2 linked regions of the Kluyveromyces lactis genome follow. The protein of the gene in region 2 interacts with the protein of the main gene of each other region in a biochemical or structural test. Links are inferred from orthologs where the notes say so. Each region holds a gene or a part of one and is shown on either strand. Other genes may lie near its edges.

What was found. The genes of interacting proteins can lie anywhere in the genome.
Region 1: the proteins of KLLA0_F03729g (region 2) and SEC31 form a complex in vitro, tested with the Saccharomyces cerevisiae proteins (2 studies listed by BioGRID). The link is inferred for Kluyveromyces lactis from reciprocal best matches to the Saccharomyces cerevisiae genes SEC24 and SEC31.

Annotation. Positions count from the first base shown.
Region 1 is NC_006042.1:504,482-508,907, forward strand, and holds the start of SEC31 (Sec31p), read left to right. Parts: upstream 1-1,525; coding exon 1,526-4,426. Other genes in the region: SCM3 (Scm3p), read right to left, coding at 1-213; COA4 (Coa4p), read right to left, coding at 486-740. UniProt on the Saccharomyces cerevisiae protein: Component of the coat protein complex II (COPII) which promotes the formation of transport vesicles from the endoplasmic reticulum (ER).
Region 2 is NC_006042.1:351,633-356,158, reverse strand, and holds KLLA0_F03729g (uncharacterized protein), read left to right. Parts: upstream 1-1,668; coding exon 1,669-4,443; downstream 4,444-4,526. Other genes in the region: KLLA0_F03751g (putative metalloendopeptidase), read right to left, coding at 1-720. UniProt on the Saccharomyces cerevisiae protein: Component of the coat protein complex II (COPII) which promotes the formation of transport vesicles from the endoplasmic reticulum (ER).

The DNA of each region.
Region 1 (4,426 bases), about 150 kb from region 2:
GTCTGCTTTCTTATGACGCTCCATAACCTCTTCGTCTGACAATTTAGGAATTAATCGATTCTCTTTAGACATGATGTAAACCACACCATCTCGAGTAATTTGTTTTAGATTCTCTTCTTTCTTTGGCTCCTCTTCGCCTAGCAAATCCCTTAATGCACCTGTCAATCTTCGAAGATTAGCCTTCTTCTTACTATTTGATGGTCTTTTAATCATCAATAAAGCACTATTGCTGTAATTCTACTTGGAAACTTCACCTATGGTCCGGGAACTGGTTAAATTTCGTTATGTTCTGGTGTAAATGTTGTATTGAAACGATTATTCATTATCCTTAACTAAAATATGTCAATTTAAATGTTGCGCTGCGTAGACTAAAAATATTCAGATGGGTATTCGCATATACAATTAAATGGGTCTATATACAATATGTGGAGTATTTCGACAAAGCTTCACAGTGAAGGATCTTTTTACACCTGTAAATGCAAATCTCAATGTTCTTTTGCATCGACTGTCCCCACTCTCTGGTCATTACCCTTGGATTGCCAACAATCTTTGAACAGTTTCATTTCACCAAGACACTGTCTCCAATCATTAGTCTCTGCATGGCAAAGTTGTAAAGCTAGATTCTCTACGTAACAGCCTGTGTTCGATATTCTCTTGTCCCAGGCATCAGGATCTTCTTTATCCATATCCTGATACTCCGCTAATGCTTCCTTGTAGTATTTTGATTCTCCTGCAGACATAATTGAAAGTATGAAGCTACGACAGAATAATTGCTATTGACTCGGTCAACGTATCACTGTAGACTGTGATAGTCGTTTCAAGATTAACTGTTGCATGTACTATTGCACTTATTGTATTGTATTCTACTAAATTAACCATTTATACTTCAGTGTTTTTACTTTTCCAATTAAACCTTGCTCTCGATTGTTCTTTATGGCCACTGAACTAATTTTCCGTTCCAAAAGCTTGATTGAGCTACAAAAGGTTTAATGACTATTAATATAAGAAAAGAAAGCTGTGTTAAAAAACGTCAGAGATCCCCAAACTGCAATACAACACTATTGATCTATGTAATAAACGACCAGGCTGCGGTTTGCGTTGGCGTAATTGCACCGGGAGATCACGTGATATAAATGCTTTCAAGATTATGCAATCTCCAGGCACACAACATATTCAGTACTTAGTGCGGGATACCTACTATAAACTCAATAATTGTACAGTAACATAGGTAGTAAGATCCCTTTTCGAGTATACATTGTCCATGTTGTTGTCCCTTTGGATGGTGTCTCGCCTAATTTTGGGCCAGATCTCGACTGCAAAAAAATAATTTGCTGAAGTTTTTATAAATGATGGGAACTGAAGAAACCAAAGAAATTGAAGATTCAAAATATGTAAACCGAATTTTAGGAAAACAACAGCTTGTTCTGATCTTTTTCAGAAGAATAAAAGGTGGCTAAACAGTGTTACACGTAGCATTGAGTTTGCGCATCAATATTAGCTAATACCCGTGTGATAACTTGAAGCAATGGTGAAGCTAGCTGAGTATCCGCGTACGGCTACGTTTTCATGGTCTCACGATAGGGTGCCAGTTTTGGCGACTGGTCCTGCATCTGGAGCCATTGATGCTGATTTTTCAAGTACTTCGACATTAGAACTATGGTCGCTATTGTCTTTTGATGGGTCTAAACCTAGTGGATCTGTTGTCGCTGACGGTAAGTTCAACGATTTGGATTGGTCGGGCGATGACAAAATAATTGCTGGTGCCTTAGAAAATGGTGTTGTTGAGTTTTTCGATCCAAAAGCCTTGAAATCTGTTGCTAAGATCCATAAACATCAGGGTCCTGTCAAGACATTGAAGTTCAATGCCAAACAGAACAATGTTCTTGTCTCTGGTGGCACTCAAGGTGAAATCTTTGTTTGGGATTCAAACAAGATCGGATCTTCAGATTATTCTCCTTTTTCGGCTGGTATCAGTAATACTCCAATCGATGAAGTTTCCTCGTTGTCATGGAACCAATCGTTGGCACATGTGTTTGCATCAGCCAGTTCTTCAGGGTATGCATCTGTGTGGGATTTAAAGGCAAAGAAACAAGTTTTGCATTTGAACCACAGTTCCTCTACCACTGGTATTAAGGTCCCATTGACGGTTGTTGACTGGCATCCAACCAGCTCTACCATTATTGCAACCGCCTCTAGCTCAGATACAGAACCTCTTGTCCTAACGTGGGATCTAAGAAATGCTCATGTACCATTGAAAGTGCTATCACAAGGACATTCAAAGGGTGTTTTATCGTTGGATTGGTGCAAACAAGATGAAAATCTATTGTTATCCAGTGGTCGTGATAACACTTCGGTGTTATGGAATCCGCAAGAAGGCTCCATCTTAACTCAGTTCGCTCCACGTGGTAACTGGGTCTTTAAATCCAAATTTGCTCCTGAAGCTCCAGATTTATTTGCATCCGCATCCTTTGATAGTAAGATCGTCGTTCAAACGTTGCAAAATTTGAGCAATACCTTGGATGCTCAGGCAAATGAGAGTAAGCAACATGCTTCTGAGGATGAATTCTGGAACAATGTAACCTCCAACTCAGTTGATGACAAACCTAACACTGTCAAGATCCAAGCCCCAAAATGGTACGGCAACAAATCTCCTGCCGCTCAATGGGCATTCGGTGGTAAGCTGGTTAGAATATCCGATGATGGTAAAGGTGTCAGTGTAGTAAAACCTTGTATTTCTGGACTGGAAAAGAATCAGCTTTTCGATGAGTCCTTGAAATCCAAGGACTTCGTGAAATTGATCAATAAGAGATTATCACAAAAGATCAACGCAACAAACGAAGATGACTGGAATTTACTAGAGAATCTATCTATGGATGGAACTGCACTTTACTTGAAAGATGCATTATCATTAGATGATGCCAAAGAAGACATCATCAAAAAGTCAGAAGAAGATGGTGCTGACTTCTTCAACCAACTAAACGACAAATTCGTTCCCGAAGGCGCTTTCAAGCTTGATTTTTCTGAATCAATGAAACCACTCACTAACTTTTTGATCAAAGGTGATTTGAAATCTGCTTTAAATCAGGCTTTAGAGAAGGACTTGTTATTAGAGGCTTTGGTGATCGCTATTACTTCCAATGATGCCTTGTTGGCGGATAAAGCGAAGAACGCCTACTTTTCCAAGCATTCTGAGCAATCTGGGTTGGCAAGAACTTTATTCTCTGTTGCTCAACGCGATGTTGAAGATATTGTTACAAACATCGATGTTTCTCAATGGAAAGATGCTGTTCAGTTCATTTTCAACTACACCAAGGAAGATATCTCAAAGAAAAATTCACTTTTAGTAAAATTAGGTGATAGATTACTACACGAGGGAAACAGAAAAGATGCTATTTTATTATATTTGAGCGGCCAGTCCTTGGAAAGCATTGCGTCAATTTGGCTGAAAGAATTCCCTGAACTTGAAAATCAATTGACGTCTCAAAAGGACACCTTATACGAGGCCCATCTGGAATGTTTAACTGAATTTGTGGAAAGGTTCACCGTGTTATCTGACTACCTTGACAAAGGTACTGTTAAATTAACTAATCAAACGCTAATCTCAAAGTTTTTGGAATTCGTCAATGTCACAGCTGCCAATGGCGATTTCGAGCTTTCATTAAGATTTTTGGAAACTTTACCGGACGATAACGAAGAGGTTAAAAGTGAAAAGCAACGTGTGCTGATTGCCTCCGGTAAAACAAGTACTACTAGGTCAACAGAAAGGACAGCAAACAGTACCCTACAATCCAGACAAGGAAGATACGGTTCAACTTCCGTACCAACTGCCAATGGTGCGCCTCGTTTATCAAACTCTGGAATTCCTCCCCCAAATCCTTTGGCTGCTCCTCATCAGCCTCCTGCCTCAACTGCTCCAAATGTCGTCCCAAGAAAGCCAAGCTTCGTTCCACAGACAACTTCTGCAATTCCAACACCCAATCCATATGCTCCGGCTGCGGTAAATCAGCAAATTCCTCTATCTGTTGTGGGTTCCAGACCATCTTACACGCCACCAGTGAACCCATATGCACAAACTGCTACAAGTATCCCACCTAACCCATATGCCCCACTACCTGTGGCAGCGCCTGTACCACTTGGCTCTCCAGTCGCTCCGCCACCAATTTCCGGTGCTAGTGGATATTCTGGTCAAACGCCTCATCTACATGATAAACCAATCGACGGTTGGAATGATCTCCCATCAGTAAGCAAAGAAAAACCAACCCGTGCCAAGGCTGTCAACACAGCTCCAATTGGCATGTCAACTCCATCGTATGGTACCCCCGATCTTGCAGCGGTTCCACTTTCGAGAGCATCTACAAACTCAACGCTCCCACCACCACCGCCTAATGTGAGAAGAACACCAAAGCTTACTTCCCCACCCGAAGTT
Region 2 (4,526 bases):
TTTTTTGTCCCAATGACTATCCATGAACATGACAGCAGCTTGAGAAGTGTTATAGTTGTCATTAAATGGTGCACCATATCTTTCTAATTCCTTCATAGCTATACCAAATAAGCCACCTGCATCTTTTGCATTAGGATTCTGTTGTGCGATATTAATATCTCTTAGCTCCACGGTAGTCTTCTCACTTTTTAGAATATGAATCTTAACGGTGTTTCTTAACTCGTCATCCTTTAGGAGGGTATCCTTCGTGAATTCTTCCACGAATCGGAAAGTTCTTTGACCGACGCCGTTACGAACCATTTGTTCATTAGTGAAAGCTTGCATGATCCGTGCACCAGTTCTCAATTTCTTTATGGCCAAATCGAGACCGTTACCACCCTCCTTACGAATCTGTACAGCTGGTGCATCATATTTCAGAGGAGAATCTTTAGCGAGTAGTAGACATAGATGAATTGGCGGGTTCTGTAACAATGGTACGTATTGAATAGTTAATTGCGCCGTAGAATTGTCATTTCCAGTGAACCATAGTAAGTTTTCACCAGGAGTCAAAGAAATAATGCACTTGAATCCGTGGTTGTTAACGGGAAACGTTAAGGGAGGGAGCTGCGAATGATGCACTTGGACAGAATTGGCATTTGTATTTATATTTCCGTGGACAATAAGTGCGGGTGTATGAACCTCTTCTCCGTTCTTGATGTTGTAAAATTGGATTTGGGACATCACTTGATTTAATTAAGGGTATTCTATGGTGTACCAGTGGGAAAAAGAAGCAGATTTGAGTGTCAGTCACAGGTATTAGCTGAATTACCAGTGTAGAACCTTATGATATCGAATACTAGGAACAATGGATGGATTGCTCGTATTTAAAATCGTTTTACCTTCGAGACATCTTGTTTAAAGATCTGATCCAAAATCTACGCACATTGTAAATAAAATAAGCAGACCTCGAACTTTCATATCACGTGATATAGCAAGGTTTATATCTCTAAATATCCATCAACAAATAAAGCACTGCATAACCACAGGTAGGTTCGTTAAAGCCCGTACAGTGTCTGGAGGGAGTATCAGTGACCCACAATCTGCCCGAAAGTTTTATCTTCTACAATGACCACGTCGACATTAATTACTTAACTATGTGATTCTGAGAGAACACGAACTATGATGTTACCCGAATATTATTATTAAAATCTGACAGCTGTCAATATACAAATACGAACTGCAGCATACAATACACATATGTCAATGATCAAAGAAATACAATATATGTAGCTAACATCGACTGAGCAATTGGCTAATAAAGCAGCAACCATATACATACGCTGGAAAAAGCCTCTCAAACCGCGTCAGTTTATTTAGCAGTTATCTTGAAAGGAAACCAAATAAAAAAAAAATTTCAAAAATCCAAAAACCCAAATTTCGATTCTTCGACAATAACAAAACGGGCCGAAAATTATAAAAACAATACACACATTTGATATTCAATTGCCATCGATTGAGGCATCTACTCTTTTGGATCTTCAACTTGGTAGAGTCAATAACTGTGTCAGGATCTAGGCGACTTATCAGAAGTTTATAAAGGAGAAGGCTCTTTGCATTGTATTTTTTGCAGATAAAAGAGAAAGAGTTACAGACAATCGAGTGATACAGGAGATCAAATTATACTGAACCATGTCACACCATAAGAAGCGTGTTTATCCTCAGGCTCAGTACCAAATTGCAGAAGGGATTGCACAGCCAATTGTTGGTGGAGGTGTTCCTCCGCAAACTGTAGGTGCTGGACAGCCGCAATTTCTGACTCCTGCTCAACAACATTTGCATCAACAGATCGACCAAGCAAGTAACGGCATTGGTAATATGCAATTACACAACGTTCCTGTGGTTGATCCTACTGCATTCCAGCAAGCTGGAACCCCGGTGCAACAACCACCATACGGTGGGGCTCCTCAATATGGCCAGCCAATGAACAGTGGCTACGGCGCCGATAACATATCCGGTGTTCAGCAGCAGTATCAGCAGCCAATGCAACAGCCGTATGGGCAAACGTACGGACAACAGCAGCAGCAACCACAATATCAACAACCAGGAGTAGGAATGGCTGTGGGTAAACCAATGAATCAATTGTACCCAGTTGATTTGTTCCAAGAATTGCCTCCTCCAATCACTGACTTGTCTTTGCCTCCACCACCGTTGATGCTCCCTCCAGAGAAGATGATTGTTCCTAACGATACAGTTAACAATTGTTCTGACCATTTAAGGTGCACTTTGAACGCCGTTCCAAAAAACAATTCTTTACTGAAAAAATCGAAACTACCATTAGCTATGGTTATCAGACCATACACTAAGTTAACCGACTCTGAATGTCCAGTGCCAACTAGCGAAGACGGTGTTGTGGTTCGTTGTAGACGTTGTCGTGCCTACTTGAACCCCTTCGTACAAGTAATCGAGAATGGTTTACGTTGGAGATGTAACTTCTGTAACTTGGCGAACAACTTCCCTCAAGCAATTGATATGAATGGTAACCGTTACGAGAGACCCGAATTCAACCATTCTGTTGTGGATTTCGTTGCTCCTAAAGAATACGCTGTCAGACCACCACCACCATCCACTTACGCTTTCATTTTGGACGTTTCTCAGGCATCAATCAAGAATGGCTTGTTGGCTACTGCTGCAAGAACTCTCTTGGAAAGCTTGGATACCATTCCAAACCATGATGAGAGAACAAGAATCTCTATTATTTGTGTTGATCAATCTCTACATTACTTCCGTATTCCTTTGGACGAAGAAGGTGACAACATTAAGATGTACGACGTCGCTGACTTGGATGAACCATTCTTACCTTCTCCCACTGGCCTATTGGTTCCACTAATTGAGGCTAGAAGCAACATTGAAAAATTATTGACTAGCTTACCAGAAATTTTCCAACAAAATATTCAACCAAGATTTGCCTTGGCCTCTGCTCTAAAGTCTGCTTTGAACTTGATCAGAGCTCAGGGTGGTAAGATTATTGTTGTTGGTGCCACTTTGGCCAACGTCGGTGAAGGTACATTACATAAGAGAAATGAAAAGGCTGTTGCAAATACTTCCAAGGAAGCTTCCACTTTATTGAACACTGGTGACGCATTCTACAAATCTTTCCCTATCGAATGTAACAAATATCAAGTTACGGTGGATATGTTTATGGCTTCCGACGATTATGTCGATATCGCATCTATCTCTAACCTAGGCCGTTTCACTGGTGGCCAAACCCATTTCTACCCTGGTTTCAGTGCCTTAAACTTGATCGATGTTACAAAGTTCTCAAAAGAATTTTCAAAACACGTATCCATGGATCTATCTTTGGAAGCTGTTATGAGAGCTCGTGGTTCGTCAGGCTTGAAAATGACCGGATTTTACGGTCATTTCTTCAATAGATCTTCAGACTTGTGCGCTTTGGCTACGGTTCCAAGGGACCAATCATACGTTTTTGAAATTGGTATCGATGAACAATTAACAAAGGACTTTGTGTACATTCAAATTGCTTTATTATTGACATCCAATGCTGCCCAAAGAAGAATTAGAGTCATAACTATTGGTATTCCAACTACTGATAAGCTAACTGAAGTCTATGCTTCTGCAGATCAGTTGGCCATCACAGCATACTTCGCTCAAAAGGCTGTGGAAAGAGCTCCTTCTTCTGGCTTTGAAGACACTAGAGAATTTTTCAACAAATCTGTCCAAGAGGTTTTGGCTACATACAAGAAAGAAGTTTTGACTTCAAACACAGGTGGCGGAGCTCCATTAATGCTCTGTAGTAACCTAAGAATGTGGCCTCTATTGATGCATTCTCTAACTAAACATATGGCTTTCCGTTCTGGTATTGTTCCGGCTGATCACAGAGCTCAAGCATTAAATAATCTTGAAACGTTACCATTGCCATATTTGATTCAAAACATTTATCCAACAGTATACTCCTTACATGACATGCCTGACGAAGCTGGTCTTCCCGATGAAGAAACTGGTGAAATTGTACTACCGCAACCAATTAACTCCACCTCGTCTTTATTGGAAAGATACGGTCTGTATTTAATCGACACAGGATTGGACATGTTCTTATGGATTGGCGGTGATGCTGTCCCAGAGCTTGTTACAGACGTGTTTGGAACCCCGGACATTATGGAAATTCCAATTGGTAAAAATGAACTACCTCTATTAGACGCTACTGAGTTCAACCTAAGAGTGAGGAATGTTATTACAAAGATAAGAGAACACGATGATGTTATCTTCTACAAAACCTTGCACATTGTCAGAGGCGCCTCACCAAGTGAACCAATGAACCATCCTTCTGCCAGGGAAGTTGCTTCTCTAAGATTATGGACTGCATCTCAGTTGGTCGAAGATAAGGTCCAAAACAGCTGGAACTACAGAGAATTCTTACAAAACATGAAGACAAGAATCTCGAAGTAAGTTTAAAAGGTGCTTCCAAGTTGCGTACATACCATTTTTTATGTAGATATTGAAACCATGAAATAGCAAAATCTTACTTTGCA